Lonchura striata: one gene and its partners. The protein of the gene in region 3 binds, or shares a complex with, the protein of the main gene of each other region. Links are inferred from orthologs where the notes say so. Each region holds a gene or a part of one and is shown on either strand. Other genes may lie near its edges.

Region 1 (7,423 bases), on a different chromosome or scaffold from region 3:
TCTTCTGTCCCTGTCCAGAAGCCCTGGCACACTGCAGCTCCTGTTGCAGAGAGAGCCAGGGCAGCTTTTCATCCCAGGAGCACAGAACGAGGCAGAAGAGACAACACAACCAAGGCTGACAGACTCCTGTGAGAAGGGCACCACTCACAAAGTGTCCATTCTGGAGGAGGTTTCCTGCCACCAGGTAGGTGACGTGAAGCTGAGCTCCCGAGTTCTCCTTGCGTTTCCTCTCTACGTAATCATAGAGCATTCTGCACAAAAGAAACCAGAGTGAGCCAGCAGAGAGGAGAGAGCCCACACTGCACACCCCGAGCAGAGCCAGCCTGGCATGGACACTGGCCACGCAGGCACATTGCTCTCCTCAGGATTCATTTCATTCCCTCAGGCTTCCTTTTCTGAGACCCTTGTGCCTCTGCCACTGCAGAGTCCAGTCCAACAACTACAGAAACCAAAGGGCAAATACATTTAATAGTATATAATACATTTAATAACACATAATAATAAATATAATTAATAAATATAATATTATATGGTATTATATAATACCATATAGTACTATATTATATGAAATATAATGTATTATATAATGTATAACAAGACATTATACATTTATGTCTAATAATAAATATAACAATGTATTTTAGTATAAAAATACATTTAATAGTATGTAATACATATAATAAATATAATATATATATTACATACACTAAATATATGTAATATGTATATTACATACATATATGTAATGTATTACATACATTGTATAACATATAATAAATTATATATTTATATATAATATGCAAAATAATACATATAATACATAATAATACATATAATATATAATAATATATATTGTATATGTAATATCTATATCACATATGTATAATGTATAATATAATATATTTCAATATATTATATATAATTATACATAAAATGTCTTTTTTACTATGAAAGTACATTTAATAGTATATAATACATATAATATATAATAATGTATATAATATATACAACAAATATATTACATATATAATATAGAATATGATATATAATATATATTCCACATAATATATATTTTTAATACATAACATATATAATAATATCTTTTTTAGTATGAAAATACATTTAATAGTATCTAATAGTGCGTCTCACAGCCCCTGGGCAGCCTGTTCCAAAGCCTGTCCCCCAGAAGGGCATTCCTGACACCCCTGGGAGGTTTTGGTGCCTCACTGCCCACTCAGCAAGGCTGGAAGACAGGCAGGCACATGGACTACCACAGCTGGTTGTGCCTGGGAAGACAGGCAGGGTTGGCAAGCATTTCCAGAGGAATCATTTTAATGGGCTCACACCACAATGGAAACAGGAATTGACATGGAACTGACAGGAAATCCTTCCCAACCCAAACCATCCAGTGATACTGTAATCTTATTTTAAACATACACAAGCTGCTAAGACAAAGTGAAAAAGTAATTACTTGTTCCTATGTCAGAAGTCAGCTGTTTGCTTCAAATACATTAAATATAACAGTACAAGTTGCCAATCCCCTGGCCAGTTCTAGTGAGTCAAGAGATTTGTTATTTCCAAAAGAAATGGGGGGAAAACTGTTAAGCTTGGACTATAAATGTGACAGTACTCGTGCAACTTTAAATATTCCATCATACTGAACGAATGCAGTAAATAATAACCTTCCAATTCAGGCAGATTTGGAGACTGACAGAGTATTTCATGCATGTGAATCAGTTTATTGTTTGGGGCTCTGGGGGATGCAGGGAAACCTACTGTTTAGCCTGGTTGACGTGGACGCCCAGGGTGTAGCTCAGCCATTTGTACGTCACCTGGAAAAGGGGAAAAACCCCAAAAAAAACACTTCAATAGCAAAACCTTGGCCTCTCAGTTTGATCAATCTCCCCTCTTTGGCTTGTTGGTCCATGGAATTCCTTGGACACCTCGCTCCCTTGCAAGAAACCCACGGCAGAAGTGAGAGCACCCTGTGCCTCACTGAGCACCCTGAATTCCTGAGAGCTTTCCCAAATGTGTGTCGTCTGGCCCTGGGACGCGGCTGGACATCTCCAGCTGCAAAATCTCAGTGCTGCAATCCCTGTCCTGCCGTGTCATTTTGACCAAGTACATCTCCGACACCTGCTCCTCCTCCTGCTCTGCCCTTTTAAACAACGCCCCAGGCTCTGGGCTGAAAACACAATTAAATTCTCGTTTGTCTGCATTGTTCCTGGAATGAGCTACAAAGCCACAGGCTGCTCTTGTTCTTTGCTGCACCATTTTCTAAGCAAAACCTATTTTATTTTATTTTATTTTATTTTATTATTTTTTTATTTTATTTTATCTCGTTTCTTTTTCTTTCCAAATAAATTTTTGAAATAAACTTGGAAAGGAACAGATCCACGTGGGAAACCATCAGCTTTCTGAACTGCCTTCAAAATAGTTAGGGAAGGGGGGGAAGAGAGAAGGGAAAACAGAGGGAGAGAAGGAAGAGTGGGGAGGAGGGAGGAAGAAGACGGAGAAGGAAGGGAAAAGGAGAAAGATGGGAAAAGGAGGAAGGGGGAGAAAGAAGGGAAGAGAGAACGTAAAGAGGGGAGAAGGAGGAAGAAAAGGGAGATGAAGGAGGGGAGAAGGAATGGGGAAGGAAAGAAGGGAAAGGGAAAGGGAAAGGGAAGGAGAGGAGAGGAGAGGAGAGGAGAGGAGAGGAGAGGAGAGGAGAGGAGAGGAGAGGAGAGGAAAGGAAAGGAAAGGAAAGGAAAGGAAAGGAAAGGAAAGGAAAGGAAAGGAAAGGGGCGGCGGAAGGCGGGGGGTGGGGGGAAGAAGGAAGGAGTGGAAGGAGGAGGAAGCGGGACAGGGAAGGAAGAGGGGAGCAGGCGGCACTCACGACGCGGTTGTGGTCGGTGACGAACTCGTCGATATTCTCCAGGTACAGCTCGTCCGCCATGGCCGCGCCGGGCCCGCTGTCCAGCCCCCGCTTCCCGCCTCAGCGCCGCCGCGCGCGCGCTGCCGCCGCTATGGCAACGGCCCCGCCGCCGACGGCGGCCGCGCGCGGACACGGTTCTCTCAGGAGCGCTCCGCCGGGCCGGGCGGGCCCGCGACTCGCCTCGGTCAGGAGCGCTCCGCCGCACGCTCCCCCCACGGGAACAAGGAGTGGCCGTGGCGCTCCTCAGCTCCCTCTTGTTGGCTGGAGGGTACCTGGCTCCCACCTGGATACCTGCCCTGCCGGCCCGTCACCTCTCCGCCTTTCCTTCCCTGTCCCGCTTCCTTCTCCTTCCACCCCTTCCTCCTTTCCCCCCCTCTGCCTTTTTATATAAAAAAATATATAATATTTTATATAAAATAAAATAATAAAAATAATAAAAATAAAATTACAAAATACAATACAATACAAACTAATAAAATAAAATAATAAAAGATAAAATAAAATAAAATAAAATAAAATAAAATAAAATAAAATAAAATAATAACGCTTCTTAGTGGATTGGGGGAAAACCAAGCTGTAACAGGCAGAATTCCAAAGCAGCCCTGCCCCAGCCACGAGAGGGGTCAGCGGCTCTGCAGAGCTCGGGACAGCAGGGACAGCTCCCGTGCGTGCGGGTGCATGCCCCGTGTCCGGCATGGCAGGGCAGCTCCCGGACCGTCCCTGCCCGTGCAGTTCCCTGTCCGGGACGGCAGGTGCCAGCTGGACACCGCGCCTGCCCGCAGCACTGAGGGACACGCCGTGGGACAGCGCCCTGGGCTTGGGCCGCCGGGAATTGTCGCTGGAGGTGGCGCAGGAGCCCCAGAACCACACGGGAGGAACCCCAGAACCACACGGGAAGAACCCCAAAGCCCTCCAGGATCTTCGAGTGGAATCCTTCCCCCAGCGCTGCCAGGGCCACCACTAACCCATGTCCTCAAGTGCCACATCCAGGGATGGGGATTCACCTGGACAGCCCTTTCCGTGAAGGAATTTCCCCTAATATCCAACCCAAACCTCCTCTGGCACAGCTTGAGGCCGTTTCCCCTTGTCCTGTCCCTTGTTCCTTAGGAGCAGAGGTGCTCCCACTCCCCTTCATCCTCCCTGCTCTGCCTGCACCAGCACCTCTGAAAGGAGGTGCCAGAAGAAGCTGAGCACGCTGAAAAATACCCAATTATCAGCAAATATCTGGGGCTTGCTCCAGACAGGCACAGAGCCCCAGGGAAGAACCCCTGGCTGGGGAGTGCAGTGGTGATTCCACTCCAGGGTAGCCATGCTGGACAGGAGTGTCCCTGGCCCTGGTCAAAGTCACTCATTTCATGAGAACTGTAAGCAGATGCAGATCCTGACTTGAGCACAACAGCTTTTTACCTGGCAATGGTGAGGGAAGGAAATCAGACATGTTTAATAAGTGTTAAAATAAACTCAGAGTATCCCTGTGCTGGAGTGTTTCTCAAGGCTCACAATGGCATTCATTACTTAGCTGGCATCAGGTTTGTTTTGCTGATAACAAAACAATCCACATCCTCTTCCTCCTGTGTGCCAGGCACCTTTTCTCACACTCCTGTTGTCTCTTTTTCTTAATTTCGCTGTAGTTATTCTTGTGCTGTGACATTCCTGGCTTGACGTTTCTGCCTGGTTTACGGAAGGAGTGTGCAGCTCTAAGCATGTTACTCATCTTTTCATTGTTTTTAAGTCTCTTTTCGTCCTTTGTTTTTTCTACCTTAAGTTTCCTGCTTTGAGCTGATTTCATGACCTGGGCTTAGTGTCTGATGAGTGTAAAATAGCACTTTTCACTCTCAGGACACAATGTGTGCTGGCCCTGCAGGCTGGCTTAAGGGTATGAATGAGTGTGAGAGGTAAGAATTCTTCAGCTGAGGATTTCTTTCCTCTCTATTAAAATGATGTGGGATCTGCATCTGCACTCACTCAGACCTGCTTTCTACTCTGAGGGAGCTATGTGGGCACAGATTGAAATGAAAGGTTCGGACTGGACATAACAAGTTATTAGAATCACAGAAGGGGATTGGAATGGGCCCAAACGACCATCCTGTTCCACTCCCCAGCCATGGGCATGGACACCTTCCACTAGACCAGGCTGCTCCTGATCTCCGTGGTGAAATATTTTGAGATCTCTTAATGTAGGCTTGCTTCATTGTCTTTCTTCCTCAGTTGTGCCAGCTCTGAAGCTTCAGTGCCAGCTCCTCTGAGGTGTGAAAGGCAGAGTCAACAAGGCACAAAAAAGGCTCCAAAAGAGCCAAGTTTCTGAAGGACGCACCGACAAGCAGGGCTGGCTCCTCGGTGACGGAGCTGCAGAGGAGCCTCTGAGCAACCTCTGTCCTCACCTTGTCAGGCTGTGTGGAAGTGCCCTGGGATTTGTAATTAGGCACAGTTTGAGACTGGGCTCTACAGTGATTTATACCAAGAATTTTGAGTCCCTTGGAGCCCTCCAGGCCCTGCAAGGGCTCTGAGCTCTCCCTGGAGCCTTCTCCTCTCCAGGTGAGCACCCCCAGCTCTCCCAGCCTGGCTCCAGCCCTCAGAGCATCCCCATGGCCTCCTCTGGGCTCTCTCCAGCAGCTCCATGTTCTGCTGCTGTGTCCCCAGGGGTGGGGCAGCTCTGCAGGTGGGGTCTCACCTCGACATTTCTCTGGTGTTCCCTAAGAACTGCCATCCCTCCCCTGAGCCCTTCAGGAGCATCTTTGCCACAAGCAGTGCTGTGATGGGTGTGTGACCTATCAGTGGTGATTTTGGCTGGTTGGAGTGGTGCTGTCTTCGCAGATGGCAGGGTGACCCCTGGGAGGGGCTCTGGCCAGCTACTGGGCACCTTTCAACAGTGTTGATGAAGGACAAACAACACATCTGAGCTTCCCAAGTGGGAGTGCCAGCTCCTGGGAAGCTCAGAGGAGCGTAAGGCCTGCCGTGTTTGCTCCAAGATGAGCCAAAAAATGACGACTGCCCAGAGAAGTGCAATCAGCACAGAAACACCGGCTCTGACCCGTCTGCCCAGGCCATCAAGGAGCTTCCTTAAGTACTTCCTTACTGCACCCCTGGGGCACAGCCTGTGGTGTGTTTCCCTGCTTTCCTTCCCCTTTGGCACAGCCTTGGGAACGTGCTGCTTTGAGTCAATGAAGGGAACAGGCTGGGGGCAGAGCAGCCCTGCCTGTGGGACACAGACCCCCAGATCCTGCCCAAACAAACCGGGGATCTCAGCCCCAGCCCTTCCCCCCCAGCCTTCCCAGGGAAAGGTGTGTAATATATGATTTAGAATAGATTTGTGCTCAGGACTAAAAAATACAGTATCCTTTTAAATGGAACCACGTGATGGGAAAGAGCAATATACACAGGATGAATTCCTGTCTCAAAAGATGGTTATTCTGAAGGATTATTCTAGAAGATATGCCTTGAATGCTAAGATGAATATTCGTTGCCAGAACAAGATATTCGGGGGGATTACTGTCTAAGAGGATTTCAGCAATGAGAGTATTCTAGGAAAGCCTCTGTTTAGAAGCACCACAAAAAAAGAACATGCATGAATATGTGAAAAAGGACAAAAGGAAACAGGAGAACCACCCCAGAATCCTGTTAACTCTAGAAACAGTATAAAAAAGACCATGTGAAATCAGTACCCCGTGAACTGCCAGGGTATGGTGCTGCATTAGTCCGGACCCAGTTCACCCAGCACCGAATGCCTGGCTCGGCGCTGATTTGCTTCTGGCTTTCCCAATTTTACTTCTATTTGATTTAATAAATTCCTTTAATTATTAAATTGACTGATTCATTTATAACAGGTGCATTCCAGAATGAAATGTTTGTCCTTCCTAGTAAGGTGGCTGGTGCTTGTAGAGCCTGAGTAAGTCAAGATGTTGCCTTTTGCCTCTGCCTGTAGCTCTCCATGAGCTGTGACAGCCCCTCTTGCCAGGCACCTGTTTCACAGCCACCACCTCTGCCCTCCCCTCAGCTTCCTGCTATTAAGCCCCGACTTGCATTGGCCCTAAAGCTCAGAGGGAGGCTCTCCTGCCAGAAAAAAATCAGACTCTGTCCTTCAATGAATTGGTGAGGACTGCACAGGCTCTGCTTGTGTTTACGGCACCCAGAGGAGAAGGTACAACGGGACAGCAAATCATGGACACAACAAAACCCCCAGTGTGCTGTAGAAACGCCCCAGCCCTGGCAGAAGAATAAAAGGTGAGCCATCCGCAGCCCCTTCCATCCCGTTTCCGCCTGGCTGAAAAGCAGGATGTGGACAGTAAATTGGGCAGCAACGATGCACGCCAGTGGCGTGGTGCTGACGAGGGTCCCAGTCCTGTGACACATGGCTCCATGTCCTGCCAGCCAGACAGGAAGAGCCCTGGGCTTTGATCTCCAGGAGAGAACTGGGGGCTTAACCATAAAAACAAGAAAATAACTTGCTGCACACACACTGTTGGTGCAAAATATGAGTCTCTCCTGCCAAGGCAGAGACCTAGAGCT
Region 2 (7,105 bases), on a different chromosome or scaffold from region 3:
GACCTCAGAAACACTGAACATCCTTGAAATCAACAGGAACTCAAACATGACTGACAAAGTGGGTTTTGAAGTTAAGATGTACTGCTGGAAATTTTACCTTTGTGTATAGTCTAAACTCTTATCATCAAATTTTGTTGCACTCGGCTACTATAAAATAGATATTTGAAAATGTGGATTTTCCCTTGGCCTCCATCATGTGTAGTCACTACATGTGTCTATTTATATTTGCATTTATAATTTTTTGTGAACTGCAGATATCATTTTGTGACCAGTTTTTTTAAGTAGCTACAAAGTAGGCATTAAACAAAAATAAAAACTGACATGTCTTTTGTTTTAGAAAACAGGGCAAACCTTTATTGATTTTACTCTATGGAGAAATTATGACTTAAAAGACAGCCATCAGTTATGCTGATAAATAATACTATTAATACTCAAATTTTGATTGTACAGCTGTTTAGCTGTGCATGATTAGAACCAGTTATATATTCAAGAGTGATTATTTTCATGCAAATACTTGGCTGGCTAATGGGGAGAACAGCTGCTGCTTAGCAACTAGAGGAACAGAGAAAGGGGGTGACTTGCTTTGTAACAGAAAATGGCTTGAAACCTTAAGAGAGAGAACATACAGTGTTTGGAGGTACCAGAGAAAATTAGTGGTAGTGCTGTTTACAAGGATGTTTCCTTTTACAATTACTGACACCCTAGGCAAGCAGCATTTTCAGGTAATGAAGTGTAAACTATAAGAAAATTTGTATATCATATATGCATAACACATGTGTGAGTGAACAACAAATAAAACAACTCCTAAAAACAAATACTGACACACAAATTGAAATGTAGGAAACCTAGAAAGAGATTTTGTGTCTGTCATCTATTGAAAGGGTTAAACCAATTTTCAGACTTCAACAACTTAAAACCATCACAAACCAAGCTTTCTGGAAGAAGTGCTCTTTATTTCTGCTGCTCAATCTCAGTCCCTGCACTGCCTCCTCCTCTGTGCAAGCACAGGTTTTCACACCCCTACATAATGAAGCAGATCAAGGACCTGAGTGAGGTTAAAACTAACCCATATTTCTTAGTGGGATTGCTTTTATCTGGCTCATTTTCCAAGTCAAGTTTCTTGTGCAGCTATTCAAATGTTTGCACTGACATGAGGAGGAGGGCAGGGGACCTCCTGTGACAGCGCTGACTCAAACCTTTACTGAAAATACAGTCTTACCTTGGTGCAACCCTGCAGACAAACCTACTGACTTGACTGCAAGACAAAACTGAAAGCAGAAGTGAGCTGCAGGAAACTAGGGAAACTGAAAAGGCACCACTCAGAAAGCATGCAAGTTCCACAAAAGTGTCTGCACAGGTCTAATGTACACGTGGATTACACTATTTATATCAAAAAGGATATTTTTCAAAAAGGATACTTCCTTTTTTTTTTTTTTTTCTGAGTAACATTCAACATTTTCAGAAATCAAATTAATACCTCATATGAACAAGAAACTGGCTCTAGGTTAGGGATCAATTTTTCTTTCTGATTTCAAAACACGGTTCTCCCAGATTTAATAAACAACATAAAAAATGCTGTAATTTTAAATAGAAGACTCTGCATTACATGCTTTAGCAAATCCTGCTTTATGCTTCCAAGAAGTTAGTTATCTCAGCTGTCTACACTGTTTTACTGTGGGCAACTGTTTCTCTTCAGCAGGACTCCCAGGTATGAACTTGTGCTACATCTCACACACCACACTCATTTAGGAGAAACCAGAATCCACCGGTGGCAAATGTTTTGGTTTATCCACCAGCCCAGTGGAGGGACAGATACAACATCATGTTCTCCTGCCTGTGCAGATGACAAAATACAGCAGTGGACTGGTACACCCCAGCACAGAGGAGGACTGCTGATCTACCTTCAGCTCATGCAGACATCAGACCACATCTGCCAGTGTTCAAAGATATTAACCTGTCAGTGAAATGCACAGTGGTGGGAAGACACATTGCTCAGCAAGTTAAGAAGATCATGTGAACAGAAAGAAAACAGAGCATGGAATGGAGTAACACAAGAACTGTTACTGTCGCTACCAAAGTTCTACAGAAAATTAAGGAACTGGATTAGTGAGGGAGCAGTACAAAATGTATTGAAATAACAACAGTTAGAGATGCTGTTTGTTAACATGCCCCACCAGTAAGCTCCTAGTGATTTATCAGCCTTTGTGAAATCTAAGTATTCATAAGAGTATTTTTGCAGTTCCAAAGGTTTTCCAAATATTAGCTTTGCAGATGTAAACCATTGTCAAAAACTGAAGCTGTAGCTCAGTTATTCTTTAGATACAATGAAAATAATTTGGATTTTAACCCTATTTTAACCACTTCTCTAACACAAGATTTCTTGATCACTAGGCAGTTGGATTTTCTTTTTCTGTTCACATAAAAATGAGTTTAAGGAGGAAAACAGATGTGAGCTAGAGAAAATAAACAGCTTACAAAGAAAGAGTAGGAAACCAGTTACCCTTGAGTAGACAGGCAAGCTTCCTGTTCATTACAATGAAAAAATGAAGGGTAGCAACTGCCTGACCTGTCTTTTGTTCAAATCTAAACCCGAAACACATGTAAGCAAATGCAAAACACGTGTTCTACATATTGGACGTTTGTCAGGTTTTATAGATTTGCACATTTGTCTCATATCATCCAGTCCTGCACGCACATGTATCAGCATCACTCTGAGCGCGTTTGAGAGCATTTGGCCTTTTAACTGGCTCATCTCCCACTCCACAAACTCTTTGGATATTTGCTATGTTTGGGGGTTTTTACCCCCGGATCTGCAGCTCTCAGACAAAGAGATTGCAACAGGAACCTTAAACCTAAACACAAGGTTTTTTCAGCGCCTCAGCCTAAAGTCAATCCTGTTTTATGGTTTTCAATAAAAACCTGCACGAGAGCGCTGCAAACCGCAAAGTAAGCGCTCATAAAGGGCGGAGGAGGAGGAGGAGGAGGCAGCAGGAGCGATGGGGGGACGCGGCCGCTGCGGGGCCGAGCCGCCCGCGGGGACGCGGGACGCGACCCCGCCCCCGCCGCTCCGCCGCAGCGCGCCCGGCCCCGCCCGCCCCCTCCGCGCGCCCGGCCCCGCCGCCAATCGCCGCCGGCCCTCCGCAGCCCCGGCCCCGCCCCCTCCGCGCGCCCGGCCCCGCCGCCAATCGCCGCCGGCCCTCCGCAGCCCCGGCCCCGCCCCCTCCGCGCGCCCGGCCCCGCCGCCAATCGCCGCCGGCCCTCCGCAGCCCCGGCCCCGCCCCCTCCGCGCCGCGCGCTCACCCTCACAGCCCGACGGCGCGCGGGCGCCCCATCCCCTCCTCCCGGTCCCGTCCCCGTCCTCGCCCTCATCTTCTTAGGGTGTTTTTTTTCTTTTTGGCTGGCCCCTGCGGCGTGGGGAGACTCACCTCCCCGCCATTCAAAATGGCGGTCGACCCAGCTTAACCCCGTCGTGTTCCGGCAGCGCTGCCTCTCCCGCCCCATCCGCGGCTCGGGATTCCGCAGCCTCACCCCCAGCCCGCGCGGCCGATCGCCGAATCACCGAGGCCGTCCCTCTCTCCCTCCCTGCCTCGTCCCTCGCCACCAGGGGAGGCGATACAAAGATTTTTTCCCCCGCTCCCACGCGCGCTCCCGCCCAGCCTGCCGAGCCCAACCGAAAGGTGGGAGCGGGGGAGCGCGCGTGCGTGTCGGGAGTGACGGACACCTCCTCCGCTCGTTGAGCCCCTTTCCCCCCCAACACATGGCCCGTCCGCCCCCGTCCCCATCCTCCCAGTGGTTGCATCCGTGACGACATCATCATGGCAACAGCAGCTGCAGCCCGGGGCCGGGGCGCCGCCGTCGCCGCCGGGGCGTCCGCGGGGCACGAGCCCGCGCTGTCCCTGAGGGGCGCGCGGCCGCACGGGCTGTAGGAGCGCGCGGGGGGGCGCGCCGCCGCGCACGCGCCCAGAGCGGCGGCGTCGGGCGGGGGGAGCAGAGACACAGACAAGGCGCGCGCGGGGCTGCGCGCGCTCCCGCGGGCGGGCGAGGAACGGCAGGCGCGGGGAGTGCTGCGCTCGCGCGCGCGCTCGCTGCGGCGGCGGCGGCGGCGGCGGCGGGCGGGGGGAGCCGTGCGGGCTCCGCGCTCGCTCCGCGCTCGCTCCGCGCTCGCTCGCTCGGTGCTGTGCTGGTGCCTCGGCGGCGGCCAACAAACATGTTCTCAGTGCGGATCGTGACTGCCGACTACTACATGGGCAGCCCGCTGCCCGGCCTGGACCCCTGCCAGTCCCGCTTCCGAGAGGCCCCGGCCAAACGGGTGCCCGTCGTGAGAGTCTTCGGCGCCACCCCTGCAGGTAAGGGATGACCCCCGCCGCCGCCACCGACGGGCGGGAGGGGACGTCCCCCCGCTGCGGCGCCGCGGGTCGCGCTGGCGCCGGCCCCGCCGCCGCCCACTCCGCTCCCGCTCTTTGTGGCTGGGTCGCGCCCCCCCTCTCCGCGCCCGGCGCCGCCGCTGCGGCGCGTCTCACCTGCCAGCGGCGGCCGCGGCGGCGGCAGGGCAGCGGCGAGGAGCGGGGACCTGCCCCGGGTGCCGCACCGCGCCCGCCGGTGGCCGCGGGGGCTGCGGGCCGCCGGGGCTTTGTGCGGGGCTGCCCCGGGAGAGCCGCGCGGCTGTGCAAACACCGGGAGCGGCCCGTGCCGCCCTCGCTCCCGGTGCCCACCGCCGCTCTCCTGCCCTTGCCGGGAGCTCTCGCTGCGAGAGGGCGAGCGGACGAGGGGAAGCCGCTGAGCGCGGGCACAAGCGGGACTTGTGCGGCACTTGGGAAGTGCGGGCTCGTGTCGCGGCACGGATCGCGCGCGGCCGGAGGCACCGGTGCTGCACTGCAGAGAGGAGCGTCCTGAGCGCCGGCCACATGTTGCCCCCGAGACTCCCGAATGTCACATGCCACTTCACTGCCTCTTCGCCGTGTGGCCTTGTGCCTACAGCCGTCCCGCGTCTCAGATGTGTTTCTGACCAATGCAGACAATACATTCTCAGAACAAATTCTAACAAAGTAAATACTTAGGAAAATTAATTTTATATGTATTGTAGTTTGCCCATACGTTAAATATTAAATTGGAAAAAACCCTTGGCTTTTGAGATACTCGACATAGTAAGCATCATTGCCTGTGATCTCTACACTTAACGCTGTGTAATACTGACCTTGGGAATTAAGGTATTTCTACATATTTTATTGACTGGCTCGGTGAAAATTATCTATTGATGCACATACAATAAATCTTATTCAAGACAAAAAACATGTAATAAAAGAGCATAGCAGAGGTGTCTTTCCCTTCAGGCAGTTATTATAGTAGAGCAGTTATTTTGTTGTATTTTTTGTCAGCTTGGTTTTTTTTTTTTTTTTTTAATCCAGAATTAACTGTCTTCTCTGTTTAAGCACAGAGGAATGTGACATATTCAAGCTGTTGTGTTCTGATGCAACTACAGCTCCAAATTATTAAGTGAATGAGTGGGATTAATAGATACAACATTGAAATAGTGGGACCTATTTTATTGTAGCTCTAATTCTGCATACAAAGGAGATATTATGTAATAATATTTATGTAATGGCAGGAGTAACTATTTCATGATTAAAGAATGTGGAGCCTGAGGTTGTTGGCAGGTAGCAGGATTTTTGTGCATGCATGTGGTTAACTCATTAAGGCTTATTTGCTTTTAAGAAAATGTTTAGGCTATGCCATATCATGAATGTGGCATCATAAAGTAAACAGTGAAGTAGTTTAGTTGTCCAGCTATTAGGAATACTGTAGGAAATCCCTGGCTTCCCCAACCATAAACTTTAGTGTCAGTTTGCATAATAGAAGTGTTTCTAATTTGTCTTTGTTAGAGAAACAATTCACTAGAGTCTGCAAAAGCAGTGTTACTTGTCTATCCTATTTATTTCCTTTTTAAACTTTTAAATTTTTTTATGTTTTGTACCTTTAGTAATGTTTGCTATTAAGCTTCATGAGCTTCTTACTGCATCTCTGCATCATTTTTTTTTTCCTTTTTAGAAAAGCAGACGTGTAATTCTCCCTCTTCAGAGGTGTTGGACCTAAGCACTCCTTGTCAGAAGTACTCTGACAGTGATTTTCAGGCTATTTCTTGAAAGCTGAAATTTAAAGTGAAGTGTAATCACTTACATCTGCACCGACATTTTCTTTGAGGAAAAAGAAATAGTGAAAACAACTTTTAGCATACTGTCTAAGACAATGGGATGTCCTTATTGTTTGTCTTACAGGCAGTGTGATGCTTTTCTTCACTTGAGTTGGTCTGTGTGGGAGCAATCCTTTCTCATTGGGTTTAATGTGTGTGCCTTGCCTCCAGGAAAGGTACTCAGTTGCCTTGTTTCCTGCATGGCAGCAACCTATTATGGCTGTATTGGCTGTTCCACCTCTATCATGATTAACTTTGCACGACTCTTAGTGTGTTTATAGCTGTGTGCCCAAGCTATGCAGGTAATTGGGAGTCAGGTTCAGAACAGACTCCAAATGTCGCCTGCTGAGTGAAGGGGGTTTGATTGGAATGTGGCAGTGGCTTATGCAGACGTTCAGAAAGTCAAACGTTTGGCACTGCTGTATCCTTATGTCCACCAGCAACTAAGGACAGTGGTCCTGAAGGCACGCACCTGTTCTTGCTGCCCCATCTTCTGCACTCAGTGAAGTGTGAGAATGACAGGGATTGCCAGTGTTACCTTTGAAGGTTTTTATGTAATCTAGGACTCAATAACTTGTAAAGGTTTACTGGTACAATCTATAAAATGAAAATGGCTTGTGGTTGGGAGAAGAAAAAGCCAGACTTTTAATTAAGAGTAATGGAAGGATCAGCTTCTAGAATAGACTGCGCTGGCAATAACATTTGACAACTTCTTTATGTCTTTTGAGGAAGAAATCTTGTATTTGGTAAGACTATGCAAATTCTGTCTTGATGTCCTATATCTTTGCATAGTGAGAACTTGAAAGACGAGGAATCAAAATTTTCTTTAAGCCAAAAGATCTGCCTGCTATATTCTGCTATTTTGTGAAATAAAGAGTAAAATTCTGATTACAGTAGCAAAAGGTAAAGTGAGCTGAT
Region 3 (7,640 bases):
GCTCTGATTGGCTGGGACTGCCAAAAGGATTCCCCGTGCTCTGATTGGCTGGATTGCATAAGGGATTCCCTGTGCTCTGATTGGCTGGGACTGCTGAAGGAATTCCCCGTGCTCTGATTGGCTGGGATTGCATAAGGGATTCCCTGTGCTCTGATTGGCTGGGACTGCAGAAGGGATTCCCTGTGCTCTGATTGGCTGGGACTGCTGAAGGAATTCCCCGTGCTCTGATTGGCTGGGATTGCAGAAGGGATTCCCTGTGTTCTGATTGGCTGGGACTGCAGAAGGGATTCCCCGTGCTCTGATTGGCTGGGACTGCAGAAGGGATTCCCTGTGCTCTGATTGGCTGGGATTGCAGAAGGGATTCCCCATGCTCTGATTGGCTGGGACTGCAGAAGGGATTCCTTGTGCTCTGATTGGCTGGGACTGCAGAAGGGATTCCCCGTGCTCAGCGCGGACAGTGCCAGTGCCGGCCAGTGAGGACGATCCCAAGCCCACGGCAGTGCTGGTGACAAGTGGGTGACGAGGGACAGTGCCACGTGCAGGGACGGCTGCAGTGCCAGGCACAGGGTGCAGCGAGGGGACCATGACAGCTGGGACCACCCAGGCGTGCGAAAGGAACCGCTCGCTCCAACCCACATGAGACGCATCCCCACAGAACCGCTGGCACCTTCGGTGCCACCCTGGCCCTGCTGCGGGCAGGCCAGGCCCAGACTGTCCCCTGCCAGTGCCTGGTGCCATACAGCTGTGTCACCGTGTCCCCCCAGCGCAGACAAACAAGACCCAGGAGCCAGAGGAGGGACTTTACTGAGGGGGAGGGGGATGCCAGGGCTGCGGGGGCATCAGGGGCTGGAGGGGCGTCGGGGTTTGGGGGCACTCGGGGCTGTGCCTGTGGAGAGAGGAAAGAGCAGGGCGTGAGTCAGGGCCAGCACCCTACAGCCTGCAGCAGGGAAGGTTCAGAAACCACAAGCACACTCCCACCCCGTTGGCAGGCATGGGGTAAGGGATGTAGGGTGCAAAGTGTGGGATGCAGAGGGGGGTATGGGATCAGGATGTGGAGTGCAGGATCAGGATGTGGGTGCAGGATGGGGGTGCAGGATCAGGATGTGGGTGCAGGATGGGGGTGCAGGATCAGGATGTGGCTGCAGGATGGGGGTTAAGGATCAAGTTGTAGGGTGCACAACACAGTGCAGGACAGGGGCTGTGGGATTACCATGCAGGGTGCAAGACATGGTGCAGGATGCAGGATGGGGATGTGGGGTGCAGGGCACAGGGTATGGGACATGGGGACGCAGGATGCGAGGTGCCGGACACAGGATGCAGGATCGGCCCATGGGATGCAGGATCAGGATACGAGTGGGCACTGACCGTGCTCAGGAGCGGCAGATGCCCATGGCACTGCAGATCTCCTGGGGCGTCTCCCCGTTCTGCAGCGCCTCGCTGATCTTGTCCCGGTACTTGTTCACTATCCGCTTGCACACCTTGCCCACAACCCGGCCCAGCGCCCGGCAGCCCTTCCGCATTGCTGCTGCCACCGCCGACTGCCAAAGCCACCACAGGTCAGGGGGCCACGGGGAGAGGGCCCCTAGCCCAGCCCCCCAGACCCTCATCACCCCTCACCTCGTCGGGGTCGTCACCTGCCAGCGACTGTATCTTCTTCAGGACCTTGGTGCACAGGCTGCACTTAATCCCCCCACTTTGCCCCACGCCGTCCACGTCAGCCGCATTCCCCTGTGGGGACACAGAACACCCTCAGGGCTGCCTGGACCCCTGGTGGCCCTGGCAGTACTTGGGGTCGGGGTCTCACCAGGGCCAGGCTGTCGCGGAGCTGTTGGCACTGCTGCTCCCAGCCGCAGCGCGTGGCCGTGGCCGTGTCCCAGCACCCGGACGCTGGGTCACCCTGGCAGGGCAGGGGTGCCGTGGCCTCTGCTGCTGCACGGGGACAGGACAGTGAGCGTGGATGCAGGTTGGGTGCCCATCACTGAATTCCCAAACTCCTAAACCACCTGCCCCAGGTATTCAACCCCATCCCCACCATCCCTCATGCCTGTGCTCACATCCTCCTGTTCCCACTGCTCCTAGGTCCCCACATAGACCCCGTCCCCAAATGTCCCCAGGTGCCGGTCCCAACACGGGCACCGTGCCCATCACCCCTGGGTGCTTGGGCAGAGCCCATCCCTGCCACCCCCAGGTGCTTGCTCCCATCCCTGCAGCCCCCACCATCCCTCCTGATTGTCCCCTTGTCCTCCTTCCCACATCCCTGAGTGCCTGTCCCCACACAGACCCCATCCCCATCACACACAGGTCCCCACACAGAGCCCAGCCCCGCAGCTCAATCCTCCAGGCTGCCATCCCCCTCGTCCCGTGTCCTGTCCCGTCCACCTCGGGGTGGCCGTCAGGAGGGTCCCCATCACCTGCCAGCAGCAGCAGCAGCAGCAGGAAGGTGGCAGACATGGCGAGCCCACAGCAGATCACTGACAGCGGGTGCCTGCCTGCGTCCCGACACCTTTTATAGAGCGCTGGGGGGTGGGGGACCAAAACCCCAAAACCCAAACCCCTGAGAACCGAGCACGGCTGCTCCCCAGGGCCCTTCCTGCCTCACAGCTCCACCCCGCAGGAAGGGGTTACGGGGGGACTTGGGGAGCTCAGCACCCAGCCTCGGCCCTCGGGGAAATCCCACGAGTGGGGCGGGAGGGACAGCCCAGACCCCGAGATCCGTCCCGACATCGGGAGGCTGTCCCGGCTCCGCCTTGGCCCCCTCCGGGCTCTGGGGAGCCCAAGGGCGCAGTGTGCCCGCGGGGTCGGTCCCGGTGTTCCCCCTGGGGTCGGTCCCGGTGTCCCCCCTGGGGTCGGTCACGGTGCGCCCCTCACCCCTCGTGTGTCCTTCATCCCACGTGTGCCCCTCATCCCCCGCCTGTCCTTCATCCCACGCGTGCCCTTCACCCCACGGCTTCCGAAGGGCCCCGGGTCGGTGCCGGTGTCTTGGTGTCCCGGTGTCTGTCGCGCTGTCCCGTGTCCTGCTCCCCTCCATGTCCCGCTATGGCCCCTCCATGTCCCGCCCGGTCCCGCCCGGTCCCGCCCGGTCCCGCCCGGTCCCGCCCGGTCCCGCCCGGTCCCGCCCGGTCCCGCCCGGGGCTCTGGCCCCGCCCCTCAGCGCATCTCGCGCCGGCTCTGACGTCACTTGGCCGCGCGCGGCGTTCGCGCCTTTTCCCGCCGCAGCCCCGCCCCCATGGCGGGACCCGGTCCCGGTGCCGGCGGCGACCCCGGGCCCGAGCGTGACCGGCCCCGGGCCCGAGCGTGACCGGCCCCGGGCCCGAGCGTGACCGGCCCCGGGCCCGAGCGTGACCGGCCCCGGGCCCGAGCGTGACCGGCACCGACCCCGGGCCCGAGCGTGACCGGCCCCGGGCCCGAGCGTGACCGGCGGGGACCCCGGGCCCGAGCGTGACCGGCCCCGAGCCCGAGCGTGACCGGCGGGGACCCCGGGCCCGAGCGTGACCGGCCCCGGGCCCGAGCGTGACCGGCCCCGGGCCCGAGCGTGACCGGCGGCGACCCCGGGCCCGAGCGTGACCGGCCCCGGGCCCGAGCGTGACCGGCGGGGACCCCGGGCCCGAGCGTGACCGGCCCCGGGCCCGAGCGTGACCGGCGGGGACCCCGGGCCCGAGCGTGACCGGCCCCGGGCCCGAGCGTGACCGGCCCCGGGCCCGAGCGTGACCGGCACCGACCCTCGGCCCGCGACCCCCCAGCCCGTACGTGACCGGCGGGACCGGGCCGCGACCGAGCGGCTGTCCCCGTGCGGGGACGGGGGAGACCCGGTCGGGGGATCCTGTGGGGTCTGCGGGTACAGGGGATCCTGTGGGGTCTGCGGGTACAGGGGATCCTGTGGGGTCTGCAGCCCCGGGGGATCCTGTGGGGTCTGCAGCCCCGGGGGATCCTGTGGGGTCTGCAGCCCCGGGGGATCCTGTGGGGTCTGCGGGTACAGGGGATCCTGTGGGGTCTGCGGGCACAGGGGGATCCTGTGGGGTCTGCGGGTACAGGGGATCCTGTGGGGTCTGCAGCCCCGGGGGATCCTGTGGGGTCTGCGGGTGCAGGGGATCCTGTGGGGTCTGCGGGTACAGGGGATCCTGTGGGGTCTGCGGGTACAGGGGGATCCTGTGGGGTCTGCAGCCCCGGGGGATCCTGTGGGGTCTGCAGCCCCGGGGGGCTGGACCGTTGGGGCTGGGGGTGGCTCCTGCGTGCCCGGGGGTCCTGGTGCCAGCGGGGAGGGGGATTGTGCCGGTGGGAGCACATTTGTTGGGGGGCACTGGGGCATGTCCGGGGGCTGTGCCGGGCCTGGGTCCATCTGGAAGAGGGGTGGCTGTGGGGATGTGGTGGCCACGGTGTGTTTTGTGGGGACTTCAGGTGTCCTGCTCTGTGGGGGCATTGTAGGAGAGGATGGTGCGGTCACCAGGATGAGTTTGGGGCTGCCCTGCGTTGGGAGGAGAGGGGAGGAAGGAGGGCTGAGGGCTGCAGAGTGCTGCAGGGAGGGTCAGACCCGCACATGGTATTTTGGGGGTGGGGAAGATCATTTTCAGGGGGATGTTGTGCCTTGGGTGGGAGCCAGAGTCTCAATTCACCCGTTTATTTTCCAGACCCATCGTTGGAGCCCCACGCCATGTTTTCCGAGCAGGCGGCCGCCACGGCGCAGGGGCTGCTGGCCCCACCCTCGGCCGAGCCCCCCACCTTCCCCAGGGTGGCTGTGTCGGGGTACTCGGACTGCTCGCAGCCCTTCCAGCTGGGCGAGCGCAGCTTTGCCCGGCAGTACTCGCACATCTACGCCGTGCGCCTTGCGGGCATGCGGCCTGGCCTGGAGCGGCGCGCTCGCAGCCGATGGGGTGAGCCCGGGAACCCCTCAGCACGGGGGAAAGGGGAAAACACTGCCCTGGGAGAAACAGAACACTGCCGAGGAAAAACACTGCCCCGGGAAAAACAAAACACTGCCCTGAAAAAACACTGCCCTGGAAAAACACTGAGTGTCCAGGGGGAGCGGCTGGGGGGGCTCAGGCTGGAGAAAAGGAGGTTCAGGGGAACCTTCTGCCTCTCCATAATTTCCTGGCAGGAGGCAGCAGCCAGTGGGAGGGTTGGGCTCTGCTCCCAGGGAGCAGGGGCAGAACAAGAGGACACAGCCTGAAGGTGCAGCAGGAGAGGTTTAGGTTGGCTATTGGGAAAATTCCTTCATGGAAGGGGCTGTCCAGCCCTGGCAAAGCTGCCCAGGGCAGTGCTGGAGTCCCCATCCCTGTGGGGAAGTAACGGCTGTGTGGATGTTGCACTTGGGAGCGTAGGTTAGTGGTGGCCTGGGCAGCAAACATCTGTGGAGCTTAAAGCCTTCAGGTTTTATCTCGGTGTTTGACCAGATTTATATCTGGAGTGCAGAGATGAGTGTTCCTCAGGCTGGACGTACCCTGGGGCCAAGATCCATCCCTGTTGGGGGAGTCCATCCCTGCCAGGCTGGGATCCACCCAGAACCTTCCTGCAACCTGAGCAGCTCCAGTGTACCCAGTTGTGCCAGTCCCCAGCAGCGTTTTACCCTTGGCAGGGGCTGTGCAGCACAGCCAGTTCAGCCCCCAGCTCTGGCATGCACAGGGATGATGGGGCCATCCATTTGCAGGTGGATTATGTGGCAATCCTGCTGCAGCTCCCACCTGGAGTGCTGACCTTGGGACAAACTGCATTTCCCATCACAGATGGAAGGGGGGTGTGGGCAGGGAGAGCCCCATTGCCTTGGTCACATTGCCCCACACATTTCAGGGAGCAGGAGTTGAGTGTGAGGTTTGTCAAGGTGGGGCTGGGGGGCCCTGGCCAGGAAGTGGGGCACAGGAGGGTGCACAGGGGTGAGAGGTGCTGGTTGTGCCGGGGGGGTGTTTCCTGTCCTGGGGGGGTTGTGGTCTGCGGGTGGGACCCTCACGCTCAGAGTTTCCATCCACGGGATGAAGCAACTGGGGCTGCTGGGGCTCTGCCCCCCCTCCCCGGCCCGAGATCGAATTTCCTTCAGCTTTGCCCTTCTATGGGCAAAAACCCCTTCAGTGGAAGCTTTTGGGCCGGACGCCTGTTCTTGTGCTCTCCCCAGCCCCGTGGGCTGCGTGGAAGAAAAGCCAGCGCTGGTCTTTGGTTGGCCACCCTGCGCTTTGCCAAGTGTGACAGGATCCAGTGGTTTGTAAACTCCACCTCCTGGAGTCCTGGGACGGGACCAGATTTTGGGGTTTGTTTCCCAGCAGGAAACGCCTGCAGGCAGAAATCTGGAGAGCACAGCCCCCTCCCCCCTGAACACACATTTTGGGGAGTTTGAGCCAAAAATAAGAGACTTCAACGGGATTGTTTTTGTTCTGACTCAGAGTGTTTGCATTCCTGGGCTCGAGAATCCATGTTTCCAGTGTGGGGTGCCAGGGATGGCAGCGGGGTGCTCTCCCTGGGACAAGAGTCACGCTCAGCAGCGCGTGATGAGCAAAGTGGGATTTTTGGGAGAAGTGTCACCCAGAAAGGACGAGGAGCTGGTGCAGGCAATGTTGTTTTGGGAGAGGAGACCAGGAGCAGGTTCCTTGCTCCTCTCCGGGGCCTGAGGCTCAGGATGGACTTCACAGGCTGGTTTAAACAGGGAATGACAGTCCCACTGGATGGGAGGACACACACTGGATGGGGCTGGAGCACCTCTGGGTCCCCAGGGGTGGGGTAAGAAGTTTTGGGCTCACCTTGTGGTGAGGGAGATTTTTGCTCCTCAGCCACAAAGTGGGTGCAGCCGGGCCTGCAATGTTTCTTGCAGCTCCCGAGGTCCTCCCAGCCTGCATCCCCTGTGGATCCCTGCCTAAAGCCCAGGGACCTGTCAGCATGCCAGCACCTCCTCTGGAAGGGATGGGGATCCTGAATTCCAGCAGGGGTCTGGGGCAGAGGATCTGGCCCTGGCAGAGATCAGGTTTGGGGGTGTTTTGTCATCTCCTGCCTGTCATCTCCAGGATGTTTGGGTTATCCCCTGGGTGAGGAGCAGGAACAGCAGCCCCCTGCCCAAGGTGCCTCGTGGGCCCTTCCTGGGCAGAGCAGAGCAGTTACAGGGAGCTAACACAGCACCATGACCCAGCTTCCCCCCAGCACAGAGGAAATGCCTGCAGGCTTGCAGCCTCTGGAATGCTCCTCGGCCCCATCTGGCCCACACATGTCTGCTGGGCGCCGTGCCTCGAGGAGAAGCAGCAGGCTTCCCAAAACTCCCCAGCACCTCGGAGAAGCAGGAGGCTTCCCAAAATTCCCCAGCACCTTGGCACTGGGGCCCTGCAGCTGCTCCCGCCAGCCCCGCGCCGTGCCCACCGTCCCCCCGGGGCTGCTGACCCCCAGCTCTCCACAGGGAACGACGTTGTGCTGCGGAGGCTCTCGGAGCTGCACGAGGGAGAGAAGTGCTGCGTGGTGGGGACGCTCTTCAAGTCCATGCAGCTCCAGCCCTCCATCCTGCAGGAGATCAGTGAGGAGGTAATGGGCTCACCTCCTCCTCCTCCACACAGCTCGGGGTGGGAGTTGTGCCCGCACACCTGAGAGCTCAGCTGGGCTTCCATGGCTTCCCTGTGCTCGCTGTAGCCAGGGAACTGGCAGAGATTTGAGCAGGATGGCCTGTGTCCAGCCTGTCC
Region 4 (6,010 bases), on a different chromosome or scaffold from region 3:
TCCCCCCAGTTCCCCTCACTCACTGCCTGCGGGGCTGGGGGGGCTCAGGGCTCATCAGTGCCCGGTACCGGATCATCTCCACCTTCAGCCCCCTGGCACTGGCCACCTCCTGCACGGCCTCGTCCAGCCCATCCTGCATCCCTGAGACACCCTGTCTGTCAGCCAGACAGGGGACCCAGATGGAGGGTAGAGGAGCCCTGTGTCCCCTCAGTGCCATCCTTACCCAGAATCTGGAAGGCTCTTTCCTGGGTCACCGCCTCAGTGCCCTCCAGCAGAGCCTGCAGGGCTCCCTTGTCCCGGTAGAACACAGACAGCTGGTTGGAGTAGTAGTCCCTGGGGTCCCTATGGTCCTGGGAGGGACATGGAGCTGAGGGTGGCACCCCACTTGCCAGGCCCCTGGGGTGTGGGGTGCTGCTGTCAGGACAGGGGTCAGCACCTCTGGGCGCAGGCGGGTCAGGACAATGCTGAAATGGGGCCAGGAGTCCACCAGCACCTCGTGGGAGGCCGGGTTCCCCCTGGCCACCGTCATCACAGTCCCCAAGACCTGCACAATAAGGTCATTGTCACCTGTAGGACAGGGGAGAGGGGACAAAGGGGTGCCCAGAGTCCCTCTGGTCCCCTCACCAGCAGGGGAGAGGGAGCAATAGCATCCCCGGGGTCTGCAGCAGGGCAGGGGAGAGGGGACAGAGGGGTCCTTGTCACCACCAGGGCAGGTGGGGAGGCAGAGGGGTCCCAGGGTCCTCATCAATGGTAAGGCAGAGGAGAGGGGACAGGGGACAGGGACAGAGGGGTCCCGGGAATCAGCAACACTGACAGGACAAGGATGAGGGGACAAAGGAGTCCCCAGGGTCCTCACCACCGGCAGAGAGGGAGGGAGGGAGGGACAGAGGGGTCCCCAAGGACTCTGTCACCAGCAGGACAGGGCAGGGGGGACAGAGGGATCCTCGGGGTGGCTGTCACCGGCAGGGTGGTGGGCAGGCTCTTCCGCAGGGTCTCCTCCAGGAGCTGCAGCTGGGCTGGGCACCTCAGGATCAGCATGGCTTCGTGACCGTGGGGCAAGTGGTGACACTGAGGATCCGTGGGGAACTGGTGGCACTGAGACAATGTCCCAGAGTGTCCCAGCTGAGCACCTGTCCCCAGGCAGCCATAAAGCTGGCCTGGTGCCCAGTGTTCAGCGGGATGGACCCTGCCCGCTGCCCCCCAAGGCAGGGGGCACTCGCTGGCCCGTGACAGCTGGTGGTAACCATTGTCACCGAGTGCCACACAGTCTCCAGACTCTGACTCCACAGCCCCCTGGAACCCACAGACTCAGGACTGTTGCAGGGTGAGTGCTGGAGGAGATGGGGACCGTGAGGAAAGGGACGGGGACAGGGTCAGGGGCCATGCCTGGTGGCCCTGTCCCCCTGTTACTGAGGGTCTCTCAGCAGGACAATGAAGATCTTGACATGCTCAGCCCAGCTGCAGCACCTGGAGGGGATCCTGAGGAAGAGCCTGCCCCTCGCCCTGCCGGTGATGGGGACCCCACTGTCCCCACCCCTGCCCTGTGCCACGATAGGGACCCCAATGCTACCCCCATCCTGCCGGTCACAGGGACCCTGCTGTCACCCCTGCACTGTGCCATGACTGGGACACCAGCGACACTCATCTGTTGCTGTGATGGGGACCCCAATATCCCCCTTGCTGTGAGGGAGACCCCAATACCATCCCTGCCCTTTGCCCTCCTGCTGGTGATAGAGACTCCCGTGTCATTAGGAACCCTTTTGCCACCCTGTCCCCACACCTGCCCCCCTCCCATCAGCTCTGACCCCCTATCTGCTCCCACAAACCCCCTAGCTCTGGTCCCACATGTGCCCCTGTGTCCCCCATATCAAGCCCCCATCCCTGACCCCCATCTGTCCCCTCCTTGTTCCCCTTTTCCCCCAGGTCTTCGGGGCAGTGCTGAACATCAACCGGGGCAACCCTGGCCACTTTGAGGTGCTGGTGGACAAGTGGCCTGAATTCGGTGCCATGCTGGCCCGGCCCAGTGGAGAGGTGGCCAGTGGGGACATGGGGCACTGCAGGAGGGGGGTGACATGGTGCCCTAGCACGTGCGAAGTGTGCTCAGAGCACCCCTGGGTGCCCCCAGGTGCCGGTGAACGATGGCTACTGGAACACACAGGCGGCGTTTTACCGGGACCTGGGGGCGTACCGGGAGCTGCTGGAGACCCCCGGCTGCCTGCGCTGGGACGCTGCCTTCACCCTCATCGGTGGCCTGGGGACACTGGGGTCTTGGGGGGGTCCTGGGCATGCTCTGGGCTGCACTTGGGAGTGTGGGACACTGGGGAGAGCTGTTGGAGGCAGGGAGGAACTGGGAGGTACTGGTGAAGGAAATTGGGGGTGCTGGGGGACACTGGAGATGGGTGTTTGGGTGCTGGAGAGCACTGGAGGCCTGATTTGGTGTGCTGGGGTGGGGTTTGATGGGTGATACCAGTGGGAAGTGTTGGGGTGGGATTTAGGGGTGCTGGGGAGCACCAGGGAATTGCACTGGTGCAATTCTCTGAGCATCCTGGAAGCAGGGTTCAGGGGGTACTGGGGTTGAACTTGGGGATGCTGGGGGCACTGGGAAGCACTGCAGCTGGATTTGTGGGTCCTTGGGGACACTGGGGAGCGCTGGGGTTGGATTTGGGCATGCTAGGACCAGGACCGGGGTACTGGGCAAAGTGGAAGGAAGGATTTGGGTGCTGGGAATAGAGGCTGAGATTGCAGGCAGCCCCTGGGCACAATTAGGAGGACACTGGGGTCACATAGAGGGGCTGGGGACAGAGATGGTGGGGTACAGGAGGAACAGGACCCCATGACATCCCCTTCCCCAGGGATACAGGATGGGCTGGCCACGGTGTCCCAGGACCTGGCGGGGAGGAAGGGTGTGGAGCTGGACATTGTCGAGTACTACTCCTACTGGCACCCTGACCCCAGCACCGTGCCTGAGCCCCGGTGAGAGCCCCCCACCCTCGACCCCACACGGGAACACCCCTGAGCCCCCCACTGACCCCTGCCTCACCCAGGCCAGCCCCCGGGGTGCGTGTGGGCTCCCTGAGCCCCTCGCACGTGGACCTGCTCAACGAGACGTGGCCCTACGGGGGGAACGCCCGCAGCCGGCGCTTCCTGGCTGAGATTTTGGGGCGCTTCCCGCAAGTCTGCCTGCAGGACGGCAGCGGGCAGCCCATCGCCTGGGTGCTGACGGATCATTTCGGGACGAGCACCCACAGCTACACCCTGCCCGAGCACCGGCGGCGCGGCCACATGCAGGTGGCACTGACGCTGGCGGCGCAGCGGGCGCAGGCCCGCGGGTTCCCCACGTTCGGGCACACGGCGCTGGGGAACCGGCCCATGCAGCGGCTGCAGGAGCTGCTGGGCCACCAGCGCCTGCCCGGGGTCTGCCGCTACATCCTGCACAATCCTGGCCTGCACAGGGACGGGCCCTGAGGGAGGGCCTGCTGTCCCCTCTCTGTGCCAGCCTCACATTAAACAGCCGTGTGGCATCTCTGATGGCTGCTGTGGGGTTTTGTGTCCCCCCAGCGCTGAGCGTTACAGCGGTGGCACAGCTCGGTGGCTCACGTGTCACCGCTGAGGCACACAGCTGGGTCCCCTGGGAGCCACCCCTTTCCAAGGCACGCATCTCGGTTATTCTCAGTTTCCCAAGGGAGGGCTGAAAGCCGCAGGCAAATCTGCACTGGTTGCACCTGCGGTGTCACCCCCTCAACCGGGGCGGTGTCACCACAGCTGGGGACAGGCAGGCACTGGAGGGACAGGCAGTGACACACAGGGCAGAGTGGGACAGGGCAGAGGGTGACAGTGTCACAGGGTGAGTCGTGGTTTGGGGGACTGATGGGGACAGACAGGGGGTGACAGTGATGGAGGAATGCTGTGATGGGGGTGACATTGTCCAGGGGGACAGGGAGAAACCACAGAGGTGACAGTGCTGTAGTGATGGGGGTGACAGGGGTGACAATACCAGAGGGTAGTGGGCACAGCTGGGGATGACAGTGCCTGGGGTGACAGTCACTCACACGGGTGACAGTGCCAGGGGAAAAGGGAACACTGGGATGGAGGCGACAGTACCCTCGGGGTGCCAGAACTGCCACGGGGGTGACAGTGCGGCTGCTGGCAGGGACAACACGGGGGGTGACAGCACCCGGGGACAGCCGACGGGTGCCGAGGGGGGCGAGGGACCGGGACCACCGCGAGGGTGGACCGGCCAAGGCGGCAGCGTCCGAGGGCGCCCACGTCCGGCTCCCCGGCCCGGCCCCGCCGCTTCCGCCCGGCCATGGGCAGGGGCGGGTCCCTCGCTGGTTCCCGGTATTGGCGGGTCCCGCCCGGTTCCCGGTATTGGCGGGGCCGTGCCAGCTCCATGTCGCGCAGGGCCATGGAGCAGCCCCGGCGCATCACCGACTCCTTCCCGCGGCGGCGGGGCCCGCGGCGGCCCCCGGGCAGGCTCAAGAACAAGAAGGACGAGGACAAGGACAAGGACAAGGCGCAGCTGAAGGTGCGGGACTGTCCCCGCGCTCCCTCGCAGCCCCCTCCGGACCCGGCGCTCATGGAGATGTTGCGGCGCTTCGACCTCTCCTGGGAATACGGACCCTGCACCGGTGAGCACCCCCGGTTCCCCCGGTTGTCCCGGTGGCCCCGGGCTCCCCTCGGCCCGGCTGAGCCCCCGGTATCCCGCAGGGATCACCCGCCTGCAGCGCTGGGAACGGGCACAAGAGCTGGGGCTGAGCCCCCCCGGCCCCATCCGTGACGCCCTCCTGGAGCACCGGGACAACCCCGACGTCACCTACAGGTGGGTGTGGGATGGGAGGGTGGTTGGGGGGCACGGGGCATCCCCTCCCGGTGCCCCCCGCCCTTCCCGCTGACCCCGTTGTGTCCCCGCAGCCTCTGGCACGAGTACGAGCTCTGAGCCAGCACGCCGAGGGAGCGGGGGACCCATTCCCGACGCCCCCAGACCCCATTCCAGGGACACCGGCTGGATTAAAGTTGGTGTGAGCGAAGGAAAGGGTGCCGTGTGCTGCCTGGGGGGCACGGGGTGGGGTGAAACCCTTGGGGTGCAGGGGGAGGGCAGGAATTGCATCTCCCCCCAAAAAAGATGGGTGGGGTGTCCAGTCACGCAGTTTAATTCCACCCAACTGGGACTCAGGGAGAAAAATGTGTTCTTGGGCAGAGAAAGGGAGGTGGGATTTTCTTCCCCCAGGAATGGGGTGAAAAAATGAAGAACGAGGTATAAAATCAGGTGAAAGTGAGCACAGGGGTCTGAGGCAGGTGGCTGTGGATGGTGGGGATGCCCTGCAGCGGGGTGGGAAGGGTGACAGTGTCCTGTGGGATTCATATGTTTACTAGCCCGAATGAGCAGCTTTGCTGTGTGCAGAATGATAAATAACAGGATGTATCTGTTAATTATTCAGGTTATCGATGACTTAATTCACCAGCTCTTTCTGTTGTTTCATTAATAAAATAAATTGTTTCTATCTCTCGTGGGTCTAGCATTCATTAAATGCTAGTGCACCCACTAGAATATATTTAATTATTTTTTGTTGATTGGTTTGGTGCTTTTTATTAACTTTAATTTGGGGGATATGGGTATTTATATGGTGGACTTTTATAGATAGTCTTTTTATCTTGGTAGTGATGTCTTTTTAATTTTTAGCAGTCTAATTTTTTTTTATGCTGCTAATTAGTCTTTTTAATTTTTTTCTAGCTATCCTCACAGAGTACTGGTTACTATTTATGAATTAGTATAGAGGTAGAGTTTTGGCTTTAGTGCAGCATTGGAGCCAGCTATCACCTGGGATAAGGTGGGATGGGTTGGGATGGGGTGGCATGAGGTGGAATGGGGTGGGATGGGTGGGGACCACCCACAGCTCCCATCCCACTTGCACTGCAGGCTCCCAACCCTCTGGATTGCATTATCCAGCTGGGTCTGGTCCTGCCGTTGGAGCTGCAGTCCCTTGGATATCTTCTACAGACAGGACATAAT

The links.
Region 1: POLD2 (region 3) and POLD3 share a complex: the UniProt entries of both Homo sapiens proteins name them as parts of the both the DNA polymerase delta and DNA polymerase zeta complex. The link is inferred for Lonchura striata from reciprocal best matches to the Homo sapiens genes POLD2 and POLD3.
Region 2: POLD2 (region 3) and REV3L share a complex: the UniProt entries of both Homo sapiens proteins name them as parts of the tetrameric Pol-zeta complex. The link is inferred for Lonchura striata from reciprocal best matches to the Homo sapiens genes POLD2 and REV3L.
Region 4: POLD2 (region 3) and POLD4 share a complex: the UniProt entries of both Homo sapiens proteins name them as parts of the tetrameric DNA polymerase delta complex. The link is inferred for Lonchura striata from reciprocal best matches to the Homo sapiens genes POLD2 and POLD4.

What each region holds. Positions count from the first base shown.
Region 1 is NC_134604.1:19,187,218-19,194,640, reverse strand, and holds the start of POLD3 (DNA polymerase delta subunit 3), read right to left. Parts: upstream 3,022-7,423; 5' UTR 2,939-3,021; coding exon 2,879-2,938; intron 1,833-2,878; coding exon 1,777-1,832; intron 252-1,776; coding exon 149-251; intron 1-148. UniProt on the Homo sapiens protein: Accessory component of both the DNA polymerase delta complex and the DNA polymerase zeta complex.
Region 2 is NC_134605.1:68,476,880-68,483,984, forward strand, and holds the start of REV3L (DNA polymerase zeta catalytic subunit), read left to right. Parts: upstream 1-4,097; 5' UTR 4,098-4,207; coding exon 4,208-4,346; intron 4,347-7,105. UniProt on the Homo sapiens protein: Catalytic subunit of the DNA polymerase zeta complex, an error-prone polymerase specialized in translesion DNA synthesis (TLS). Lacks an intrinsic 3'-5' exonuclease activity and thus has no proofreading function.
Region 3 is NC_134634.1:5,317,234-5,324,873, reverse strand, and holds the start of POLD2 (DNA polymerase delta subunit 2), read left to right. Parts: upstream 1-4,631; 5' UTR 4,632-4,648; coding exon 4,649-4,868; intron 4,869-7,363; coding exon 7,364-7,485; intron 7,486-7,640. Other genes in the region: GNLY (granulysin), read right to left, coding at 1,371-1,538, 1,618-1,728, 1,805-1,929, 2,869-3,028. UniProt on the Homo sapiens protein: Accessory component of both the DNA polymerase delta complex and the DNA polymerase zeta complex.
Region 4 is NC_134608.1:53,852,453-53,858,462, forward strand, and holds POLD4 (DNA polymerase delta subunit 4), read left to right. Parts: upstream 1-4,307; 5' UTR 4,308-4,390; coding exon 4,391-4,628; intron 4,629-4,707; coding exon 4,708-4,819; intron 4,820-4,911; coding exon 4,912-4,936; 3' UTR 4,937-5,501; downstream 5,502-6,010. Other genes in the region: glycine N-acyltransferase-like protein 3, read right to left, coding at 24-141, 224-350, 437-544, 961-1,038; glycine N-acyltransferase-like protein 3, read left to right, coding at 1,432-1,509, 1,924-2,031, 2,126-2,246, 2,853-2,973, 3,045-3,465. UniProt on the Homo sapiens protein: As a component of the tetrameric DNA polymerase delta complex (Pol-delta4), plays a role in high fidelity genome replication and repair.